Linked DNA regions of Bombyx mori. The protein of the gene in region 2 interacts with the protein of the main gene of each other region in a pairwise test. Links are inferred from orthologs where the notes say so. Each region holds a gene or a part of one and is shown on either strand. Other genes may lie near its edges.

Region 1 (5,679 bases), on a different chromosome or scaffold from region 2:
TGAAGGGCCGTCAAACATTCATTGGCAAACTTAGCGGCTGTGCAAATGGGTTCGGAACTCAATTTGCGAACCCGGTTGCGCTTCCTCCTACACTTGTTTACGAATGTCTCACGAATTTCTCCTCCTTTTTAATTCGTCAATAGAACATTGAAGAGAAAAAGAGTTTTGAATTCTTTCCCAGACATCATGAACAACCATGCTGTTTTTATGGGATTTATTTTGATGAAGATACGCTACACAGTAGACGTCACGATCTATGAAAATAGCGAACGTCCGTTGCCTTCGCAATCCTGGGCGCAACTGGTCACACGAATGTGTGGGAGACTACGCGGAGGAACGCGGTTCGCGCGCTTTGATGTCTGTTACAAAACCGATACAGCTTGGAAAATCACGAATGCAGCGAAAACTTTGCATAATCATTTGCAAATGTTGTCCTACACTTGCGGGTTTGCGTATTCGTGCGAATGTGAGTGACCGGTATAAGAAACACGTGCGAAGCGTGAAACTCCGGAAAACAGTCGAGCGACAGACACTCCAATGTAACCCACGTTGAGGAGTCTTAATGTTTCGCTTCAATAATTCAGGTAACGACCAAAACCCAAGTGTCGGACTTTCCAAGCGTACTTTCGATTCTTACAGAAGTCCGTACTTACAGAAAGCCGACAAAAACAGGTTATATAATTGGAAACGAATATTTAAATGTCGCTTTCCCGACCTTTCCCCTTATGTGTTCGACAACTTTTATTCGCGCCCCCCTCCAAGCGTTTTCTTTACGGGGAATTACTCTAAGCTAGCTTCAAACAAGATGTACACATCAGAAATATGGTTGGGTTGCTTTTTGAAAAGATAAAAATGTTTTTTTATACGGATTAGAGTGTAGGTTCTTTGATGTCCGGTGACGATGCTCTTGCGAATACTGTCAGTTGCGTACCTTCCATTATTTTCAACCACCACTATAATATATCGAGTAATCTAATAAATAAAAATGATGTTGTCTTTTGCTGTTCGTTTGTTTGTTCGTATTTTATGCACTGCCATACCATTTTAGGTTTTAGGCATAGTATAATTAACTTACAGTAGGTGGAGCGCGAGTAATTTATAAATAATAAATTTATTTATTTATTTTTATTTATTTATTCTTATTGTACACACAAAGAAAATACAATAAAAAAACAGATTTAAAGAATGTCTAAATACTATGTACAAAGGCGAGCTTAACTCATTCATGAGTTTTCTTCCAGCAAACCAATAGCAGAGTGAAATACGATGTATAAGAGGGGAATAGTGTACAATATAAAAGCTATTAAAGCATGATTTTTAAACTAAGCTTTAAAAAAAAAAAAACTAATATAAAATGAAAAATACATATAAATAAACATACATAAAACAATAACTTAAATACAATTAAAGTGACAGGAAATATTTCTTCATTTGACTCTTAAAAACTTCTAGAGAGGAACTAGCACGAATAGGTTGAGGGAGAGAATTCCATAATCGCACTGCTTGTATTGTGAAAGAGCCACTATAGCGGCTAGAGCTGTGAATGGGAGTTTTTAAAAGAAGAGATGTGGCTTGTCGACTAACTCTGCCGTCAGGAATCAGGTATTCAAAGCGTTCACGGAGATAGATAGGGGCATCGGGATTGTGAAGAATAGAATAGAGAAAAGAGAGAATGTGGCAATCACGACGTCGCCTAATCGGCAGCCACCCCAGCTCAGCCCGGAAATCAGACACATGGTCATACTTCCGGAGACCAAAAATGAAGCGGATGCACAAATTCTGCAGACGTTCGAGTTTATCTAAAAGCAATTCAGAAGCATCTAGAAAAAAGTTATCAGCATAATCGAGAAGAGGAAGTAAAAGCGTTTGGGCAAGAGAAATTTTAGTGCGAAGAGGCAAGAATTTTTGAAGGCGTTTCAGAGACTGAAAGGAGTAAACAGTTTTTCTGCTTACTTCGGAAACGTGATTAATCCACGAGAGGTGACTGTCGATGTATAAACCTAGATTTTTTACACATTTCGAATACGCTATCGGAACGTTGTCGTAGAGGATGGGCGCTAACGAGCTGTAATCGAGGAGGCCGCACATATATCTACCACCAACAATGAGAGCTTGCGATTTCGAAGGATTCACCAAAAGACCAAAGGACTTTGCCCAGTTGTAAATCGCAGAGAGATCCACGTTGATTGCCGAAATGGCAGCCCCAACGTCAGCAACCCTCGTATGGCGATATAGCTGCAAGTCGTCTGCATAGAGATGGAAGTGTGAAGATATAGATTGAGAAATTGTGTTTATAAACACAGAGAAGAGGAGAGGAGAAAGTACGCCACCCTGTGGAACACCCGCAGTGAGGTCACACCACTCAGAGAAAGACTCTTCGTAGCGAACCGACTGCGAGCGTCCACGGAGGTAAGAATTAAACCACTGAATTACCGAAGACGAGACATTAAGAGAGGATAGGATACCGAGAAGAATGTCAAAATCAACTGAATTAAAAGCATTGCTGAAGTCCAGTAAAACCAAAATAGTAATTGATTTCCGCTCCATGGCCAAGCGAATATCATCGGTGATTTTCACCAACGCGGTGACAGTGCTGTGACCTGGACGGAATCCAGATTGATACGGACTCAGTAGGTTATTCGAAGAGAGGTAAAAAGAAAGTTGTTTTTGAACAATGCTCTCGAGGACTTTGGAAAAGATCGGAAGAATAGAGATGGGACGGTAATGGGATAAAGAAGAAGGTTTTGCAATTTTAGGTAAGGGTAGGACATGAGCCTTTTTCCAAAGTGACGGAAAGGAACTGGACTCAAGAGAAAAATTTATTATGTGGCAAAGGATAGGAGCAAGTTCCTCCATGATAAGTGTGAACATTATAAATGTGTGTTTTGCATACAATTAACGATTATCACGGCGGAACGTGACTGTTTTCAGCGAGCTATTAATGAACTACTATCGATGTAAATAAAATACAATAATATTTTCAAATTATTGATATCACCGACCTTGTGGCTCTAATGTCGGGAAATAATTCTTAAATTATATCGTAAATATATGAGCGAGCTCACGGTCTATAGTGCTAACGGAGCCCATAGGCTACATAGCGTGAATGCGGCCACCCCTCTTAAAATATGAAGTCCCTTCTGTTGCATAATTATTGTTTCATCTCCTTCTTGACCCTTCAAGCCCAAACGCTTATGGTACACGGCAGCAATGCGCCCGGTCCACTAATAACAATATCAATGAATAGAAAAAGCATTTTGAATCAACTGTGGTAGCATCTTGTGTATGTCTTAGTAAAACATTCGCACATTTCAGTTTCACCTGTGTAGGCTTTTGTAATGCCCTCAAAGTAGTAAATTTCTACGTTAAATTACATTTGAATTAAAATGACATGTGCATGATGTGCAATGATGTGTGCATTTATGTTTTTGTGTCCGCGATCGATTATCTGCCTTTGTTTTAAGCGCGTTATTCGCAGAAGAAGTGCCCGTTGCAAGACGCTTCTGATCGTAAACATTCTTTCCTTACAGATCTGTAAATGTAATACCGTGTAATTTTTCCCTTCAAAGAGGAATGGATTTCTACGTTAATAGGTTGATTAGATTTGAATTAAAATAAGTTTTATTTTAATTCAATGCATTTTTATTTTGTTTTTGTGTCGGCGATCGATTATCTGCCTTTGTTTTAAGACGTTGCAAGACGCTTCTGATTTTTTTTCTTATTTTTTCTTATTGCTTTGATGGTTGCTTACAGCCAACCTGGTGTTAAGTAGTTACTAGAGCCCATAGACGTCTACGACGTAAACGCGCTACCCACCTTGAGATAGAAAGAAGTTCTAAGGTCTCAAGTATAGTTACAACGGCTGCCCCGCCCTCAAACCGAAACGCATAACTGCTTCACGGCAGAAATAGGCAGGGCGATGGTACCCACCCGTGCGGATTCAAGAGGTCCTAGATTGTAAACATTCTTTCTTTACAGATCTGTAAATGTGTAATACGGTGTAATTTTTCTGAGCAGTGATGCAGACGAGGTAGCTGGGAGGTGGACGCAGCCATGCCGCTGCCGAAGCGCTGCGTGGAGCCGGTGCACGTGTCCCGGGGCACGGTACCGGAGCGGCTCTCGGTGCCTTCGGAACTGGAGGCCGTCACCAATGGCACCCTTGCGAACACTGTCAGGTGCGTACTATACAACGTTCCCTAGACCCCCACCTTACTACGCATTAAATTACATAATAAATCTAACTTTCAACTAATGATCGATCGAAATTTGACCGCAACCTTTGACATCTCAAGATTTCAATAAACATAACAAAAAACGGTTTCTATTTTTTAATACGTTTTTATTAGCTTCAGACGTATGTATGTAACGGAATCTTTGAACATGATTTTGACCCCCTTCAAAATGTCGGATTAACTCGAAATTTGGCATACTTATTAAGAAGGACCAATGACAAATCATTGAAAAAAAAAATAATTATAAAATCGAAATTCAACTAAAAAATGAAAAATAAATAATGGTTTAAAAAAACTTACACAATACGCTTTTATAGAAAATCCAACTAAAAAATAGAAAATAAATTTTAATAAATTTGAATTAAAAATAGTGTAAGAAAAAGTGATTTTATTGTAAAAAAGCGTGGGATGCTTTTCTGGATATTATCAAAATAACCCTTCTACTCATATCTGTTCATTCTTACTAATAACAATAAGATCGTTAATGTTTCTAATTATTATTAAAAGAATTATTATTAAAAGAATTTGTAGTTTATAAATTAAAAAAAAGAACAAGCTTAAATAGCTAACCGAGTTAATAATGATTAATTTCATTTTTTTTTATCCTGTTGATACTGGTTCGGATTATAGAGCGAATTTTTTTTTTTATTGCTATTGAATCGCGTATGCAAATTTTCAAGTTAATCGGACGTCTTGATTGGCGAAAATGTCGTTCAAAGATTCCATTACATACAAACAAATAAACATTGCTTGATAAACAGAGTTGAAAATGGTACTTCTTAGCTATTTTGTTTTTGTCTATAATGAATAGATTGAGAATGAAATGATCCAGTCTCATAATACCTCGTGTCAAGGAACATGTCAGTCGTAATTCGAATACCCTTAGGTCTTCAGTCCTGTACCACTAATATAAAATATGATAGTTGTATAGTCATTCCATCATGTCACAGTGGGTTTCAATTAGCAGAAACCGGTGAAATGACTCTTCAAGAAGGAAGAGATAATTTTCTCGAAACATTAATCGAAAACCACCCTGCCTATTTCTGCCGTGAAGCAGTAATGGCGTTTCGGTTTGAAGGGTGGGGCAGCCGTTGTAACTATACTTGAGACCTTAGAACTTATATCTCAAGGTGGGTGGCGGCATTTACGCCGTAGATGTCTATGGGCTCCAGTAACCACTTCACACCAGGTGGGCTGTGAGCTCGTCCACCATTCTAAGCAATAGAATGCGATAAATATTATTACCAATACTCTGTTCCAATATTACAGACAACTCTCTTCCCTCTCCAAGCATGCTGAGGACATGTTTGGTGAATTGACCCGGGAGGCCACGAACCTGGCGGACAGAACTAATGTGCTCCAAGCGAGGATAGACAGGCTCGCTATAAAGGTGACGCAACTCGATTCCGGTGTTGAAGAAGGTGATTTTTTGTTTTATTATTACTCA
Region 2 (6,218 bases):
AACACTGTCTGTTGTTTAAGTCTTATTTTTCATGAATTGAACTACACCAAATGTGGTTTGGTAACCATTTCACATCCCATAGATATTTGTGTCTACCACCCTTCAAATGTTTCTCAGCGTTGTCAGCTGATCTGGCGTTGACTTGTGGGGCACTAACTATCGCCTTATGTCAGTTTATGACAACCGTAAACGAACATGAGTATACATTATTATGACATATAAATTAATGACAAAAGTATGGATTTCCACGTAAATAATTAACATAACAGGTACATTAAAACTTACGTGGCATACTGGAATGCAGTTCCTGTTGAGAATAGTTTGTTGGTGCCTGATGTTGATTCGGGTGAACCATGCCCACCTGTAATGAGAGTAAACGATATAACAATCCAAATAAATAAATAAAACATTTAAAATTCAGTATAGCAAACAGTATATAACAATATATGTATATATAATTATTGATAATAATAATAATTATAATATTTATATATTCTATGTTTGGTAAAACTCTTATAAGTATATCTACAACTTGCATATCTAAGTATTGGAGTTAATTACTCCTAATTACATTATCATTTATTTTTTTATTGTATTATTGCTTAGAAAGGTGAACAAGCACCTTAATACATGGCTACTAAGTCTCAGTTCTATAACATAACAGCTGCACCACCCTTTAAACCGGAACATATTACTGCTTCATGGTATAAATAAGTAGAGAAGTAGTACCTACCCTTGTGGGCTCACACGACCCTCGATCACTGGCAAACTTCTGGTATGTTATACTCACTTACAAATATTTACAAAATACAGAACATGTACTCTATGTCAAATATGATGTAATTTGATATTTACTTGGGGTTGTGCAACTGGCAAAGTGGAGTAGCCAGGTGGGCGACGTGGATAGTTTGGTGCATAATGTGACGGAACTTGAGGAGGTGCTACTGCAGGAGGAGTGCGGTATTCTCGTGAAGATTTTCCTGGAAAAAATATTAATAAATTTAATTAGAAAATAATAAATATAAGTAATAGCATTTTACCTTCAACTAAATAAAAAATCAACAATCTACAATATCATCATCTACAATCATTTATTCGTTTTTGTAATTACTCGTGCACCACCCTAACCGATCTGCAAAGCAGTCATCTGTATGGGTATGAAGGCACTATAATGCCGACCGCCGACAAAATATCGAAATTGGGGCATTATCTCATTTAAATAACTTCAGTACTATATATGGAGTTTAGTTTTCTTTAGTGAATTTTTTATTAGAATGTTATGAAATAGTTCGTGACACTGTCCCTGAAACATGCTCAGAAATTGCAGAGTTGTGTACCTGATTATTCTTGATATAGGAAATGTATTTCCAAATTTAACCTAAGAAACCTAAAGTCAAAGGCTACTAGACCTCGAGGTCCTGTTAATTTTTTCTATGTGCAAAAAACCGGCCTTTTTGATCCTTTACCTAATGTTCCACGTCCAAGCGTTCCAGTGTTGGCAGCTGATGAGGACCTGACAGCCGCAGGTGGCGTTGGAGGCTTGGTTGTTGGAGCCGGTAGAGGAGCCACCCCGGGAGCAGAGCTCGAGCGACGCCCACGCGGTGTTCCAGTTGCCCCACTACTCCAGTGAGCACCATGCCCAATGTCATCCAAAGCTAGAATAAAATATTGCTTGTAATATAACAACTAATATTATTTAGTTATAATAGGGTAAATAAGTCACACCAAGTGAGTTTACTTTCAATAGAGAGAACATGCAGGGCTTCCAAATGGTCACTGTTCTCGTCGAACCCGTCGCTTGCGACGAAGGGCTCGACGAGTAAATTAACCCTCAGATACAACCCACTGAGTTTCTCGCCGGATCTTCACAGTGGGTCGCGTTTCCGATCCGGTGGTAGATTCTGCAAAGCACGGCTCTTGCTAGGGTTCGTGTTAGCAACTTCGTCAGGTTTGAGCTCCGTGAGCTCACCTACTAGTTAAGGTTCCGCTGATATAGCCTCTCAAGGCTATCAGCTTAGGTAGAAAAAAAAAAGCTTCCAAATAAGAACTCTTATTGTCTTAGAGTACAAGTCGACTTGTACTTGGATTAAAAATTAATTTTACTTTTACTGTTTCAGAGAGCCAAACAAATTTTTGCCTGACACTTTGCAGTCCCTTTTTTCATTTCAAAAGATCTTTCTTGTGATGTTAAAAGTGTCAAACAGGGGTAACTCCCCTGCCACATCTAAATGCTGTATAGAGCTAAGAAGTGGCAGGGCATTCAAGAAAAACCGTGACCTCTGTCTACAGAGCATTTCAAAGACTTAAACAATATTAAATGTAATTACTTTTCAATTATTTGTTATGTACACATAATAAATTGGGTAAATAATTAATAGACTAATAAGCTTAGGGTTTTTACTTAACCAACAGCATTTTTCTTACAGTATAGTAATTGTAGTTTCTAAATAGAAAATCCTGTTTAAAATTAAAGAGGAATGTGCACATCAACCTTGTTGACAAAATATGAAACAATTTAATCAGATAAGTTTATTATGTAACCATGCAGCATTAAGACTGTTGTGGGTTAAGTACTGCAGACATGTAAATTATTTTGTCATAATTTTCATCATCAGCCACTGCTGTAGATAGACCACCCTGTAGGTTGGCCATAATAGCCAGTCTTGCGGGGCCTGTATCTAATAGATTCTCTTAATCTTCAGCAGGACATTATGTACACCATCATTCTATATACCATCAATGTTTTTTTTTCAGTGGCTTGCGATACTAATAAAGTGGCTGCTGGAGGAAAGCATTTCTCTTGCTAAAGTAAGTGTTAGAAAACTCACAAGCTAGCCCTGTATGCCTACTTACCAAGCCAGTGAAACTGAACCTATCTTTTACCCTTCGAGGTTACCAGGGATAGGGAAAATAGATATTTGAACTATTTCATAAAAAGGTTTTTGTAATTCAAAGTGTAGAATATGAAATACCTGTGTAATCAATGCTTTTTCTCACATATTTTATTGGCTTCTCAGGGTTTGCTGGTGCAATGATCTTATATTGCCTATTGGTGACTTTATTTGCTGTAAGAACTCCAATCTCACGACGTGCTACTTTTTCTTTGTGTATGGCAACCGTTTGGGCTATGTGATTCATCTGGCCTTCCATCTCAGCCAATTGCATGGTCTGCAGTTCCAGCAGTTGTAGGAAATTGTATGCTAAAGTATTAATCTGGTATGCAACACTAGCCAATGATTGGGTGGTGTAGTTTTTTGTACTTTCCAAAGCGAGACGTTTATTTTCGGATTGAAAATAATTGGCCTCACAGTAATCTGCCACCCTTTCAAGATTAGTGTGGCTATCGGTGAGATGATTTCGTCCTTCGGGAATTTCAGTCTGTAATAGTGCTGCTAGCTCAGCCATATTTCCTGCTGTGAAACCTTGTTAATATTACCCAAAATTTTAAAGTATTGTAGAGATTGTTGTAAACAACTTTTTTATTTGACTAATATCCAAATGTACCGTTTTGTGCCAATTATGTTAATATCAAAATTGATAAAACACAAATTAATTGGTGGTATACCAATTATTACTAAACTATGTGCCCACTAAAAGAAAATTGAATGTACAAATTTACAAACACACCCTAATTTTTGTATGTCAAATTTTGTATGCCCTCTGACAAAATGACATACCTGCTACTGTCAACAATGTCAATTAAAGGTTGCATTTTCTAAAATAAAAAAAGCGAAAGAATCACAAATCCGTCTAATTTTTAACTTACCTATTTCGGTCGGCAGATCCAAATGCGTAAATTCCACCACACAATATCATAAGGTGGCAATATCTATTTTGAAGATTGACAATTCACGTTGACGATTGTTTTCATTAGGTACTCAAAAGTTTTGGTAATCAGCTATTTCGAGATAAAGCTAGTGACTAGCGTACACATACTTTGTAACCAATTTGAAAGTAAAGCAATAATTGAGATCTTCTCACCGTTCCTGCAATTCAGGATTTTTTGGTTTAATAGGAACTTACCAAGTTTTTTAGCCAAAAATAATCTATGAATACTTAAATTTTCACTGGTGGTAGGACCTCTAGTAAGTCCGCGCGGGTAGGTACCACCGCCTTGCCTATTTGTGCCGTGAAGCAGTAATGCGTTTCGATTTGAAGGGTGGGGCAGCCGTTGTAACTATACTGAGATCTTAGAACTTATATCTCAAGGTGGGTGGCGCATTTACGTTATAGATGTCCATGGGCTCGAGTAACCACTTAACACCAGGTCGGCTGTGAGTTCGTCCACCCATCTAAGCAATAAATAAATAAAAAACTTAAATACGGCATACACAACAAATTCACACGATTTGCGTTACACCATAAAGACAAGTTTACCTTGTCTTTTTATAAGCCTGAGCGTTCTGGTGGTAGATTCAGCGAAGCACTGCTCTGCCTAGGATTAGAGTTAGGAAGTCCTCCCAAGTTGAACCCATGAGTTCACATACCAGTCAGCGCGCAGTTGAATTAGCCCTAGGCTACCGACCATACAATATACCCTAATAGATAGGAAAAAAAACTAGCAAAATAAAAAAATAATATCTATCCTGATACTGGAATTAGGTACAGGACCAAAAGCTACTTAGAAAAAGTGAACCAATATGGAGAAATAAAACCAACGTCATATTCGGGCGGGTGTCAATTATGTTAACTGTATTTTGTAACGGACGTGACGTCAGCTGTCATGCCCTGCCGCCAGCCAAGCCGCCAAGCCATATTAACACGCCCCCTTCCGCCACAGCCACCGCCACCGCCGCCAGCCAAAGCCAACGAAGGGGGGATAGTGTTAATAAAACAAGCCGTGCCAGCCATTTCTACCTACTTTTCTGCATTCTTGCACAAATAAAAGAACTTATCGTTACGCTGCTGGTTTTTATTGTCACATCATTTGCAACAATCAGAAGTGGCATAAAGAAATGAAACAACGTCATATACACGCTCAGATCTCTCGGTATTCTGACAAGTTGGAAAAAAAAGATGATGAAATTCCTATTCCACCAGCGAGGAAGGTGTTGAAAAATTTGCTTCAGAAGGAGGTCCACAAGGCGATACTTGAACTACATGATGAAGAACCTGGAACAATCAAACCAAAGGAATATCGACGTCGTCGGACGAAGAGCGCCCGCCGCCCTGTCCTTCCATCATTCTGGTTCACGTGGACGGAAACTAGAAGAGCAACAACGTGGAGTAACCCACTGCGGCACTACGAGCTTCACGGCGCTTCATGAGATTCACGGCTACGAGCTTCCTTCTCCCTGCCTGCGACGCTGCTGCGCGGCGAAGACGGCTACATCAAAGTCATCAACATGGGCTCGGAGACCATCATGTGGCCGCCGGGCGAGATCCTGCCGAGGGCCAACAGCTGCGAGGAGCCACAGCCAAACAGCCAGGTGTGTTGCATTTCTACTTGCCCTAGCCATGCCATTACAAATATTTCGAGACTTGAGGGTAGAAAAAAAAAAAAAAAAAAGGAGCCATTAAATAATAAGGGTCATTCAGATTTAAAAAATACAGTATAAGCATTACTTTGCTACGAATACACATGATTTAGGTATTGCCAATTTAGTCCAAATGCAAATTAAGCTTACTAGTGATCAGCCCATGTATTGCCACCTTTACTTTCTCATAATGAACAAACGATAGTTAAATCTAAAGCCAATTAACTTTTAGATGCCGGCATTATAAAATAATCTGAAGCTAGTCATGCTTCACCAGTGGTCTTATTAAGAAACAGAACGGCGACAGTAGGCTATGCGTTGATTATCGTGCGTTAAACGCTATGGTAAAATATAAAAGTATCCACCGAACAGTACTTCAAGAGTTTAGATTTAGCCCAGGGCTACCATAAATTAAGCATTGTGCCAGACACACAACTGCTTTCATTACGCCGCAAGGTCATTATTTCAAGTACACTAGAATTCCTTTTGTTTTAGCAAATGCGCCATCTGTATTCATGCGTTTCTTCTTTTTCTCCACCTTATTCCACTAGGTGGGGTAGTTAAATGCGTTTAATAAATAAAATAATTGAGTCTGTGGGTAGAAAAGAAATGGGTAAATATAAATGTAAGTCAAATCGAGATACTAGCAATTTGAAACGATTTACCTCTACCCTCAGTTGGTATAAAATCAGGTTCAATAATTATTGAGAAAGTACTTGGGAAATTTTATGGTGGAGACTT
Region 3 (5,679 bases), on a different chromosome or scaffold from region 2:
GAAGACGAGAAGAGAAGGTAAATTTCACTACTTACAGTATTTACCCTAAATATTGTTTCATTAACATTCAGCGACCCTTTTTCTTGTTCTCATTATTAGGCCTCATCAAATTAAAGTCGAGCGATTTCGCATTATCTTTTGAGTCAAAATTAAATTACGATAAATAAAATATGTATGTATTACTTTGTTTCAAAAAATGAAATCGCAAGCATAATCGTCAAAGCCAAATGCATGTCTTAGGAAATTACGAATTCTGATCTGTGGCACTGCCTTGGCCACATAATGCTTTACTATATGTTTGTTGCTATTCACTCGACGATTACTTATAATAAAATCTATATAGCTTCATTTAACTTTTACAATACAATTAAATTGTTGTTTTTTACTGTCTTATCTGACTTGATTTAACTTACAGCCCATCGAGTGTAAAGTTTGATGTCTAACTGTCAATGGTATTTCATGACTACTGTCGTACTCTCCAAAACACGATGCACAACTGACATGAATGATTTGCTTCATTACGGTTTAGTTTCTTTTAGTCTTGCCTTAAAGACAATCTAATAAAAAAGATGTGTGGTGTCGTGGGACACTGGATAGGAACGAAGTTCCTTATTAATATAAAAATATTAATTTAAAGTTCTATTTGAGGTATAAAGAAAATAAAAAATAAAACTGGAGGTTTCGCAACAACCCACGGTCATTCGGTAACGTGCGAACTTATTGTGGTACACTTCATTCACGGTTGTTTGCATAAGAGTATTGCGCAAATGAACGCTCAGAGATCGTGGTCAATGAATGATAAAAAATGTTATTTTTGTACGTTATTACAAAGTTAAGTCGTACACTGTGTGGATTACTAATAAAAATCTTACGTTACGGACGTTTTTTCCCGGTTAGGGTACTCCTCCGCATCGTCCCATAAGGAACTTCGTTCCAAAAAACTTATTGTCTCAGGTCTTCGTTTAGTGTGGTCACACTGCACGTGACGTCACAAGACGAGCGCATTTACCGATATCACGTTTGTCATTGTTGTGCGTGCATTGTTTATTAAAAGACTCCTCATTGTACTTGTCGGATTTAAGTACGTCTATATTTATTTGTAAATACACCGTTCGTAATATTTGTATCATGTCATACATTGTCTCACAATACAGGTGATATGTTATAACACAATTTAAAGTAAAAATATTATACTATAATTGAATCAAATGGTCGAGGCTTCGGTAGGCAGCGGTTTGGCTCTACCGTCCGTGAGCGACGGTAACCACTCACCACCAGGCGGGCCGTATGCTCGTCCGCCGCCTACAAGGGCAAATAAAAATAAAAGTGAATTATTAAATAACAAATTTGATATAGGAGAGATGGACTCTACCCCGCTTTGAACTTGGCGTTGCTAGTTTTACAATGAATACGTACCTTCCGAAGTTGTTTACGGAGAAGTAGTAGAAGAGAGAAAAGTATTTATTTCCGACCGAGGAATTGTTTGAGATGATGTCGTCATCTCTTTTATAATTGCATCATCTGACACCGAAATAAGAGTTCATACCGTCCACTTGGAATTGCTGCGTTCATCGACAGTGCGTTTTGCGATGTAGCAACGGGTTTTTTTTGTGAAGGAAGGTATACTGGTGGCCTGGAGGCTTTTCCGTTTTTGTTTAATATTTATTTTATTGCTTAGATGGGTGGACGAGCTCACAGCCTACCTGGTGTTAAGTGGTTACTGGAGCCCATAGACATCTACAACGGCTGCCCTACCCTTCAGACCGAAACGCATTACTGCTTCACGGCAGAAACAGGCAGGGCGGTGGTACCTACCCGCGCGGACTCATAAGAGGTCCTACAACCAGTAAAAAACTTTCTAACACTCCGCCCGAGCGCCTCCGGAGGAGACCTAACAACTCAAGAGCAGCTTTACAAATGAAACCATGTAGTTCTGGAATGAACGCTCGGCTCTTATAACTGAGCGCTATGATATGTCTTTCTCTAAACCAAGCTCGAAAATAGTCTTCAGTCGTAGGTAGCGACTTGGCTGTATAATGCTAATGTCCATCAGAGACGATAAAATGATAAGAGAAGATAGCTCGCCTGTATATGAAGGCCATAAAACACACACACAATACAAATAAATAAGGTTTTCTTATATTTTATTTATCTTTGACTTTGACAGATCTGACGAACTTTGTTCCGTCTTAGAGGCAATAAATGAGCAGACTTGATTTTATCAGGTCAATTTTTTATTTGGATAATTAGTGTAAATTAAAAAAGCAAGTATTTTAATGATTCTTTATTGTTAATGTATTTTAGTTATTATTGTTATATTTTTATTTCTTGTTTCTTCTTTAGTCGCTTCACTCGCAATGTTTCGAATACTAGTTGCATTACGGCTTCGTCGGGAAAGATTTGATCGTGTTGGTCGCGGTATGGCTTTCTTAATGATTACTTGTCTCAGCACAATAAGCTAATAGAAACTGGAAACGAACACATCGACCGGTCAACTTCAAAATTCTACTATAATTAACCATAGACTACATTACGTTTAGCTGTCAGTTGCGTTTTGTTATTCCATATCAGTTGCGTTTTGTTATACCACGTTTTACGTCACGTACCACGGAAACGTGATAAAAGGTATCCTTGTCCTGGTTGTAAGCTACCTCCCCACCAATTTTCAGCCAAATCAGTTCAGCCGTTCTTTAGTTATAAATAGTGTAACTAACACGACTTTCTTTTATATATATAGATTTTGAGTAATCTTCGGAATAGCGACTAGAAATAACATTTTAGTGTTTTAGAAGCTTGAAAAAGTAAAAATTCAGAGATGTGAAGGAAATAGTTTCCACTTAGTACCCGTGATTGTTCTCGTGTGTTGTTGGTTGTTTGCTTTCGTAAGCCAGGATGTAAATAACGTATAAAAAACCATTCGTATTTTTCAGAAAGGAGGCAACGTGCCTTAACGGCGGCACGGGCCAGTAGCGTGGTGGAGCCGAGACAAAATGGCGTCCTACCCCCGCTCCCGGCACCGGAACCGGAACCTGCACCCGTACTCCCACCGAAAACGAATTTAGCAGGTGAAAACTACTTATAATATTATATTCCTATATTCATGATCATCTGATGTAAAGTAATGCCGACTTTTTAGCGAGGCGGGGGGAGGCGATCTTCACGCATTTCGCGTCCAAGGGGCGCGCGGGGTATGTGGGTCTTGACGGTACGCAGATTTCGGGAACAGATCGCGAGCCTACGATGTTTTTAAAGTCCTACCCACCAAACTACTCCCTTTGCACCCTCTCACGGCATGTCCGATCTTTACTCGAGCTCAGAACCCGGGCAGAGTGGTTCCCGTGGTCAACACTACAACTAGACTCGCTGCGCCACTACTAGGACGCCCGACGGACGACGGCCCGTCCCGTCGCCCGGGCGCCCGGGCGGTACCTCTGGTGCTCCGGGATACCGCACTGAAGATCCCAAGACTAAGACCCCAAGAAAAGGGCGACCTAAGTAAAGGGATTTTTTCGCTGCTATGTTGTGTGTTGTGTTAGATCAATGGCATTCTATGACATTCTAAGAAAGAAAGAAAGAAATCATTTATTCGCTAAGCATAGTGGTGGTTTTATACTTGTGATAGGACCTCTTGTGAGTCCGCACGGGTAGTTACCAACACCCTGCCTATTTCTGCCGTGAAGCAGTAATGCGTGTCGGTGTAAGGGGGGGGCAGCCGTTGTAACTATAACTGAGACCTTAGAACTTATATCTCAAGGTGGGTGGCGCATTTACGATGTAGATGTCTATGGGCTCCGGTAACCACTCAACGCCAGGTGGGCTGGGTCCACCATCTAAGCAATAAAAAAATAATGAGTTATTACATAAGTTAAAAGCAGCGTGTATGCTTTGTCATTATTTGACATGCGAATTTTAGTGCAACATCTACAATATGTATCAGAGAGTATGTGTAATAACTTGTAATGATCGCCCAGGTACGTACACACTGAAGAGCTCCGGAAAACGGAAAACGACAAGGAAATTGACTAAAGCCGACATCGGGATGCCTCACAACTTCACGCACGTTTCTCACATCGGATGGGATAAAGATAAAGGTGCGTGGATCTTTTCTTTTTCTCCTTTTTTTTTTAGGTATGGCAATTGGCTTCTTGCGACGCCATTGTTGCCAGTGTCGAGTTCATAAAAATCTTCAATTGTAAAATACATACTAATATTCTGTTATATGAAGTAAAATAGGATGAAGTTAATTGATTTGACTATTTAATCGATTGGGATAAAATTAAATGAAACAAAATTTTATTGTGTGCTTAGTGCGAGTTTTTTAACGCTCTCGATAGCATAAAAGTTAACTTTTTGTATGCAGTTATAACAGCGCCCCTAGCGGCAAACGTAGGCAAACGTTCTGTTATGGGAATTTACTCTGAGGTCGTTTTAAAAAAAGGAAACTTTTAAGATTCGAACTATTTTATTTTATTTATACAATATGGATGATATACGTAATTCTCAGAGTAACCGCGAGAGCCGCACCCGTACTCTAAGACAGTTCACTCTCTACTGACTGTTCTCCGGTCTCCTTTAAAGTCTCTACCTCGAACCGTCTAGTCAGCGGTTTGAGGGTATCAGCATTTTAGGGTTCAGTACTCTGTACATATAATATAACAGTTCCAACTGCATACTAATTGGAGTTAACTATCAGGCCATCGAGAACGTTAAAAAACTCGCACTAAGCACATTGAACATTATTTTTATAAATGACTAGCTGTAACGGTCCGCTTCGCTGGGCATTTAAAATTAACATTATTATTTCTCACCCCCACAAAGATTCTCATCATTAACACCCCCGTAACTGGTGTAGGGAGTTCAACACTCATATAAATATTAGCCTATCCATTAAGTACATGCATATTCTACATGGATACCAAGTTTCAAGTCAATCGGATGCATGGTTCAGTAGTTATAACGGAACATCCGTAAAATAAAAACCACTGTAGATTTATATATTAGTATAGATAACCGATAGTCGCACAACGTCGCCTCTTCATTTGTAGCCATGAAGTCCAAGTCTCAGTTATGTTACAATAGCAGTGGTCACAGCGATACACAGGATCCCTTCGCGACTGATTCGCACCAGGACCTGGTGATGTCCACCCGTGCAGACACCCTCATCACAATGATTCCACTTTCGAGATTTGGATAGGATAGATTTGGATTTGAACTGGTGGTAGGACCTCTTATTACTGGTGGTAGGACCTCTTGTGAGTCCGCGCGGGTAGGTACCACCGCCCTGCCTATTTCTACCGTGAAGCAGTAATGCGTTTCGGTTTCAAGGGCGGGGCAGCCGTTGTAACTATACTGAGATCTTAGAACTTATATCTCAAGGTGGGTGGCGCATTTACGTTGTAGATGTCTATGGGCCACAGTAACCACTTAGCACCAGGTCGGCTGTGAGCTCGTTCACCTATCGAATTAATAAATATATTAACGTTTTCAGGGTTCGACGTGGAGACCACACAGGACGAGAAGCTCCTGTCGTTTCTGAAGGAGGCAGGAGTTTCGGAGGTCCACCTTCGCGACCAGGAGACGAGGAAATTCATATATAGCTTCATAGAGACGAACGGTGGCATTAACGCTGTCATGGAGGATCTGCACACAAACAATGAGAAGCCAATCAAAGGTATCATC
Region 4 (6,316 bases), about 2.9 Mb from region 2:
GCTCCAGTAACCACTTAACACCAGGTGGGCTGTGAGCTCGTCCAACCATCTAAGCCAAAAAAAAAAAGAAAAAAAAAGCCATCATGAGAAAAATCAGAAGAAAAAAATGTGTGTGTGCATGTCACACACATTACGTGTGACACGGTAGAAGTGAAACTTATAAAAATTAAAATAATCGCAAGAATCAACCAACCCGCAGTGCAATGGAGCAGCCTCACCCTGTGGAAACCGCCTGCATAATCACGGTATCCCTACGCCAGGTAAGTATGATTTAGCTTTTTTTTTCCTACCTAAGCTGATAGCCTTGCGAGGCTATTTCAGCAGAACCTTAACTAGTAGGTGAACTCACGGGGCTCAAATCTGACGACGTTGCTAACACGAACTCTAGCAAGAGCCGTGCTTCGCAGAATCTACCACCGGATCGGAAACGCAACCCACTGAGAAGATCCGGCGAGAAACTCAGTGGGCTGTGTCTGAGGGTTAATTTACTCGACGAGCCCTTCCTCGCAAGCGACGGGTTCGACGGGAACGGTGATCGGTGCTTGAGGTACCTAAAAGCACCGTTAGTGGATCGGGAGGATCCGAAATGACGTGTTTGGGGTGATGTCGACTGCTTTCCATTCTTTTGATTTAGCAAGAGAAATACGAGAACATCTATCAACTGTGTGACATCTTATGACCGTGATTCAGGAATTGTTGAATTTACGTGTAGGGACATTTGCTGATAACAAACGCATGGTTACAATCAATCCTGTCACCCCGATTCGGCTAGATGTTGAGTTCTGGGACACTCTGTATATGACACAAACTTCTGTAGACTATACACAAACCATAAACATTTTTTGTACTCCTGTCCTACCTGAAGTCTCAGTAACACACATTACAAGATTTCTCCTCATGTCATCTGATTTTAATGGAATTAAATTCTTTTATTTCATAAAATTTCATCCCTTTTGATTACCATTTACAGATGAAACAACTTCTTTTAGTCCGCTTCATTTCATTCTTCTTGAAAAAAGTTAAATGTGTCACGTTAAAATTGCAGACTATTTATACTCGACGCCAGTAATAATGGTATCGAAAACGTCCTTACGCATTTAACAGATACATTAACTCTAGCATTAAGCCCCTTCAATTCTAATTAGCACTGGGAGCAGCTTAAGTGCTCTACCGACTGGTCAAACTCGGCAGAGAGTTCGGCGTGCAACCCAACCGCCCCAGCCCGCTGAGTTTCTTGTCGAGTCTTCTCAGGGAGCCGCGATTTCAATGCGGTAGTAGATTCATTCGCGAAGTAGTTGTCTTTGATTTGTTAAGTCTCCTCCGGAGGCGCTCGGGCAGCTGTTAGCAAATCCCATCATTCTTGGTTAAGTCTGTGGTCACCCACATGTCTTGGTAAAACTGGAAACGCCTCCGGGCCACCAGTAGTACTTCCTTCCCAAAAAAGGCATCGCAAGAAGGCGATTGCCTTACGGAAAAAATATAGCCGACGAGAGTAGTAATCTGTGTGAGTGAGACAAGATACAATTATAGTGGACTTTTTGGCGGGAACGCGAGGAGTGAAGTTGTGTGATTTGTTTTATTTTGTCTATTTAGTGTTTCTTCAGGTTTAAATGTGTAATAATGGTGGTTTATTAACTGTTTAATATCTGTGAAAGTGCACAAATGTGGGAAAATGAAACAAAGCCGCTGGACGTAACTTCTCGGGATCCTCCAAAAAGTCCACTGAAATAATCTTAGTAAATGACCACCATTTTACTGAGATTATATTTCATCCCATATCATCTCATCTCATTTCATTTAATTTCGTTTAATATCTGTGAAAGTGCACAAATGTGGGAAAATGAAACAAAGCCGCTGGACGTAACTTCTCGGGATCCTCCAAAAAGTCCACTGAAATAATCTTAGTAAATGACCACCATTTTACTGAGATTATATTTCATCCCATATCATCTCATCTCATTTCATTTAATTTCATCCCAGTTGATTAATGTCTCAAAAAAACTTTTTCATTTCATTTCACTGCATAATATCATTTTTCATAAAAATATATTATAAATTAAAATAAGACATGACTTAAAAGTCTTAGTTACCAGGTCATAAAATCCCTTAAAAAAAATACAATTATAGTGGTGACTTTTTGGCGGGAACGCAAGGAGTGAAGTTGTGTGAATTGTTTTATTTTCTCTATTTAATGTTTCTTCAGGTTTATATATTATTATGTAATAATGAAATTAATGAAAATGAAATAAAGCCGCTGGAGGTAACTTCGAGGGATCCTCCAAAAAGTCCACTGAAAAAATTTCAGTAAATGACCACCATTTTACTGAAATTATATTGCATCCCATATCATTTCATTTAATTTCATCCCCGTTATTTAATGTCTCAAGTTAGTCATCTTGATTTCCTTTCACTCCATATTATCAATTTTCATATGTAAAATTAAGAATATAAATTAAAATAAGACATGACCTAAAGGTCTTAGTTACCAGGTCATAAAATCCCTTAAAAATAATCTATGTTAAACAGTCTGTTGTGGTCATAGATTATACACTTAATATGTTGTGGTCTGACACTCCCTAATTTTAATTTATTGAGAGATTTTTTACGTCCAACATAGATAGTTTGAATATAGTGTACACAGAAACATGTGTATTAGTTGACTTCTAGATAAAGTGACTCGCTACATTATTAGCAAGGTACGGCTCGCGCGGTTATTAACATAAAACATTATCTGGTCTTGTTAGATATCTTGACTTAGTAAATCATGATCTCACATCATTGATCATCTTCTCGAATGAATACAGCAACAATTTGTTATTCCCCTTTGAACGGAAATCCTAAGTTGTGTAATTCTAATAGATAGGAAATAACATTATTGTATTATCATTATCTTTCATAGTTGTGAATCCGCGTACCTTTTTATTGCAGAAATATGTCCACATTATCAAGATCCCTGAATATTAGTCAGCAAAAATTAGCTGAGAAGCTAATTATACTGAATGACAGAGGTATTGGTATTTTAACAAGAGTTTACAACATTAAGAAAGCCTGTGGAGATGCCAAATCGAAACCAGCATTTCTATCTGATAAAGCATTGGAGTCATCAATTAAGCACATAGTTAGGAGATTTCCCAACATTGACGTTAAAGGACTCCAAGCAATTACACCAATACGGAATGAAGTAATCAAATCATTGTCGCTATATTATTACACATTTGTAGATTTGTTAGATTTTAAAGACAATGTTTGTGAACTTCTTAACATCATAGATGCATGTCAGGTTACTTTAGACTTGACATTGAATTTTGAATTGACAAAAAACTATCTTGACTTGGTTTTAACATATGTTACACTAATGATATTGTTGTCTCGAGTTGAAGATAGAAAAGCAGTGTTAGGTTTATTTAATGCTGCATATGAATTGCTACAGAATCAAATTGAGAATAGTTTTCCCCGTTTGGGACAGTTGATTGTTGATTATGATGCTCCATTGAAGAAATTGTCTGAAGAATTTGTGCCACATCAAAAAGTACTAGCAAGTGCATTAAATTCTCTATGGCATGTGTATCCAGCTAGAAATCTTTCTGCTGAACATTGGAGATCGGAGCAAAAGCTAAGCTTAGTCAGTAATCCAGCTCAGTTACTGAAACCATCAGAAACAAACACAATGTCTTGTGAGTATGTATCATTGGAGTCTTTGGAGAGGTGGGTCATATTTGGTTTTGCACTCTGTCATCAGATGCTCCAGCAGGACCATGCTAATAAAATGTGGGTCAATGCACTAGAGTCAGGATGGGTTGTGGCATTATTTAGAGATGAAGTGATTTACATTCACAGCTATATACAAGGTTTCTTTGACAGCATAAAAGGCTATGGCAAAAGAATATCTGAAGTAAAAGATTGTTACCATCATGCAGTACAAAAAGCAGGATACAAACACAGAGAGAGGAGAAAATTCTTAAGAACAGCTTTGAAAGAACTGGGTCTAATATTGACTGATCAACCAGGATTATTGGGCCCAAAAGCTCTTTTGATTTTCATTGGCCTCTGCTATGCAAGAGATGAAGTATTTTGGCTGTTGCGACATAATGATAACCCACCACAAAAAGTGAAGGGAAAATCTGCAGAAGATTTGGTAGACCGTCAACTTCCTGAACTTTTGTTCCACATGGAAGAATTAAGAGCATTGGTTCGTAAATATAGTCAGGTAATGCAGAGATACTATGTGCAATACCTTTCAGGCTTTGATGCTGTAGCATTGAACATGATGATTCAGAACTTGAAGGTATGTCCTGAAGACGAAAGTATAATATTATCATCTTTATGTACTACTGCAGCAAATTTGAGTGTCAAACAGGTTGAAGAGAATGAGCCATTTGATTTTCGATCATTCCGTTTAGATTGGTTCAGACTTCAAGCATATACATCTGTTGTCAAAACCCCCTTGAGTCTTGTTGATCAAAGGGAACTGGCTCAGTTTATAGACAAAATGGTATTCCATACTAAAATGGTAGATAACCTTGATGAAATAATGGTTGAAACATCTGATCTGTCAATATTTTGCTTTTACAACAAAATATTTGAAAATCAGTTCCATATGTGTCTTGAGTTCCCTGCACAAAATCGGTATATTATAGCATTCCCGCTTATTTGTAGTCATTTCCAAAATTGTACTCATGAACTATGCCCTGAAGAGAGGCATCACATTCTAGAGAGAAGTTTGTCAGTAGTCAACATATTCTTGGATGAAATGGCAAAAGAAGCAAAAAACATTATCACCACTATATGTGATGAACAGTGTACTATGAGTGATAAATTACTACCCAAACATTGTGCACAAACTATAGCTCATTTAGCTAACAGAAAAAAGAAGGATAAAAATAAGAAAAACACAATTGAAATTGTTAAGCCTGGAGCAGAAAGTTACAGAAAAACCAGAGAAGAATTGACAACCATGGACAAACTTCACATGGCTTTGACAGAATTATGCTATGCTATAAATTATTGTTCCACTGTAAATGTTTGGGAGTATACTTTTGCACCACGAGAGTACTTGCACCAACATTTGGAAACTAGATTCTCTAAGGCCTTGGTTGGCATGGTAATGTTTAACCAAGACACAAGTGAAATTGCTAAGCCTTCTGAGTTGCTTGTTAGTGTTCGTGCATATATGAATGTGCTTCAAACTGTTGAAAATTACGTTCATATTGATATTACACGAGTTTTCAATAATTGTCTTTTACAACAAACTCAAAATATGGATAGTCATAAAGAAAAAACCATTGCATCATTGTATACACAGTGGTACTCTGAGATTTTACTGAGACGGGTCAGTGCTGGTAGTATTTGTTTTTCAATGAGTCAAAAAGCATTTGTTAGTTTGACAGCCGAAGGTGCTATACCCTTCAATGCCGAGGAATATTCTGATATTAATGAGTTGAGGGCATTAGCTGAATTAATTGGGCCCTATGGTATGAAACTGTTAAGTGAAACACTAATGTGGCAAATTGCAAGTCAAGTACAGGAATTGAAGAAACTGGTTGTACAAAATAAAGAGGTGTTGCAGATGCTCAGGACTAATTTTGATAAACCAGAAATTATGAGAGAGCAGTTCAAAAGATTGCAAAATGTGGATAATGTACTACAACGGATGACCATAATTGGAGTCATATTGAGTTTCAGACAAATAGCTCAAGAGTCATTACTAGATGTTTTAGAAAGGCGTATTCCATTTTTGATAAGTTCCATAAAAGACTTCCAGCAACAGCTGCCGAGTGGTGATCCAATGCGAGTCATTTCAGAAATGTGTTCTGCTGCTGGCTTACCGTGCAAAGTGGATCCAACATTGGCATCAGCTTTACGTCAGCAAAAATCAGAAGTTGAGGAGGAAGAGCATTTAATTGTATGCTTGCTAATGGTGTTTGTTGCTGTGTCTTTGCCTAGACTAGCTCGGAGTGAAGTATCTTTCTATCGACCTTCCCTGGAAGGTCATGCTAACAATATACACTGTATAGCTCCAGCTATCAACCACATATTCGGAGCTCTATTCACTATATGCGGCCAGGGCGATATCGAGGATCGAATGAAAGAATTCTTAGCTTTAGCGTCATCATCTTTGCTTCGTTTAGGGCAAGAAACTGATAAAGAAGCTACTAAGAATAGGGAATCAGTTTATCTTCTATTAGACTTGATAGTGCAGGAGTCACCCTTTCTTACAATGGATTTGTTGGAGTCATGTTTTCCATATGTATTGATACGTAATGCTTATCATGAAGTTTATAAACAAGAGCAGATGCTTCTGCATATGTAATTCCAT

Evidence for each region.
Region 1: the proteins of abl interactor 2 (region 2) and actin-binding protein WASF3 interact in a two-hybrid assay, tested with the Drosophila melanogaster proteins (2 studies listed by BioGRID, with this or other methods). The link is inferred for Bombyx mori from reciprocal best matches to the Drosophila melanogaster genes Abi and SCAR.
Region 3: the proteins of abl interactor 2 (region 2) and actin nucleation-promoting factor WASL interact in a two-hybrid assay, tested with the Drosophila melanogaster proteins (2 studies listed by BioGRID). The link is inferred for Bombyx mori from reciprocal best matches to the Drosophila melanogaster genes Abi and WASp.
Region 4: the proteins of abl interactor 2 (region 2) and membrane-associated protein Hem interact in a two-hybrid assay, tested with the Drosophila melanogaster proteins (2 studies listed by BioGRID). The link is inferred for Bombyx mori from reciprocal best matches to the Drosophila melanogaster genes Abi and Hem.

What each region holds. Positions count from the first base shown.
Region 1 is NC_085109.1:3,368,335-3,374,013, forward strand, and holds part of actin-binding protein WASF3, read left to right. Parts: intron 1-4,017; 5' UTR 4,018-4,053; coding exon 4,054-4,175; intron 4,176-5,501; coding exon 5,502-5,653; intron 5,654-5,679.
Region 2 is NC_085115.1:8,782,985-8,789,202, forward strand, and holds the start of abl interactor 2, read right to left. Parts: upstream 3,681-6,218; 5' UTR 3,406-3,680; coding exon 2,973-3,405; intron 1,656-2,972; coding exon 1,467-1,655; intron 981-1,466; coding exon 856-980; intron 362-855; coding exon 286-361; intron 1-285.
Region 3 is NC_085121.1:15,501,740-15,507,418, forward strand, and holds part of actin nucleation-promoting factor WASL, read left to right. Parts: coding exon 1-17; intron 18-2,930; coding exon 2,931-3,065; intron 3,066-3,971; coding exon 3,972-4,091; intron 4,092-5,488; coding exon 5,489-5,671; intron 5,672-5,679.
Region 4 is NC_085115.1:11,706,228-11,712,543, reverse strand, and holds the start of membrane-associated protein Hem, read left to right. Parts: upstream 1-2,528; 5' UTR 2,529-2,696; intron 2,697-2,928; 5' UTR 2,929-2,932; coding exon 2,933-6,310; 3' UTR 6,311-6,316. UniProt on the Drosophila melanogaster protein: Plays a role during growth of the oocyte.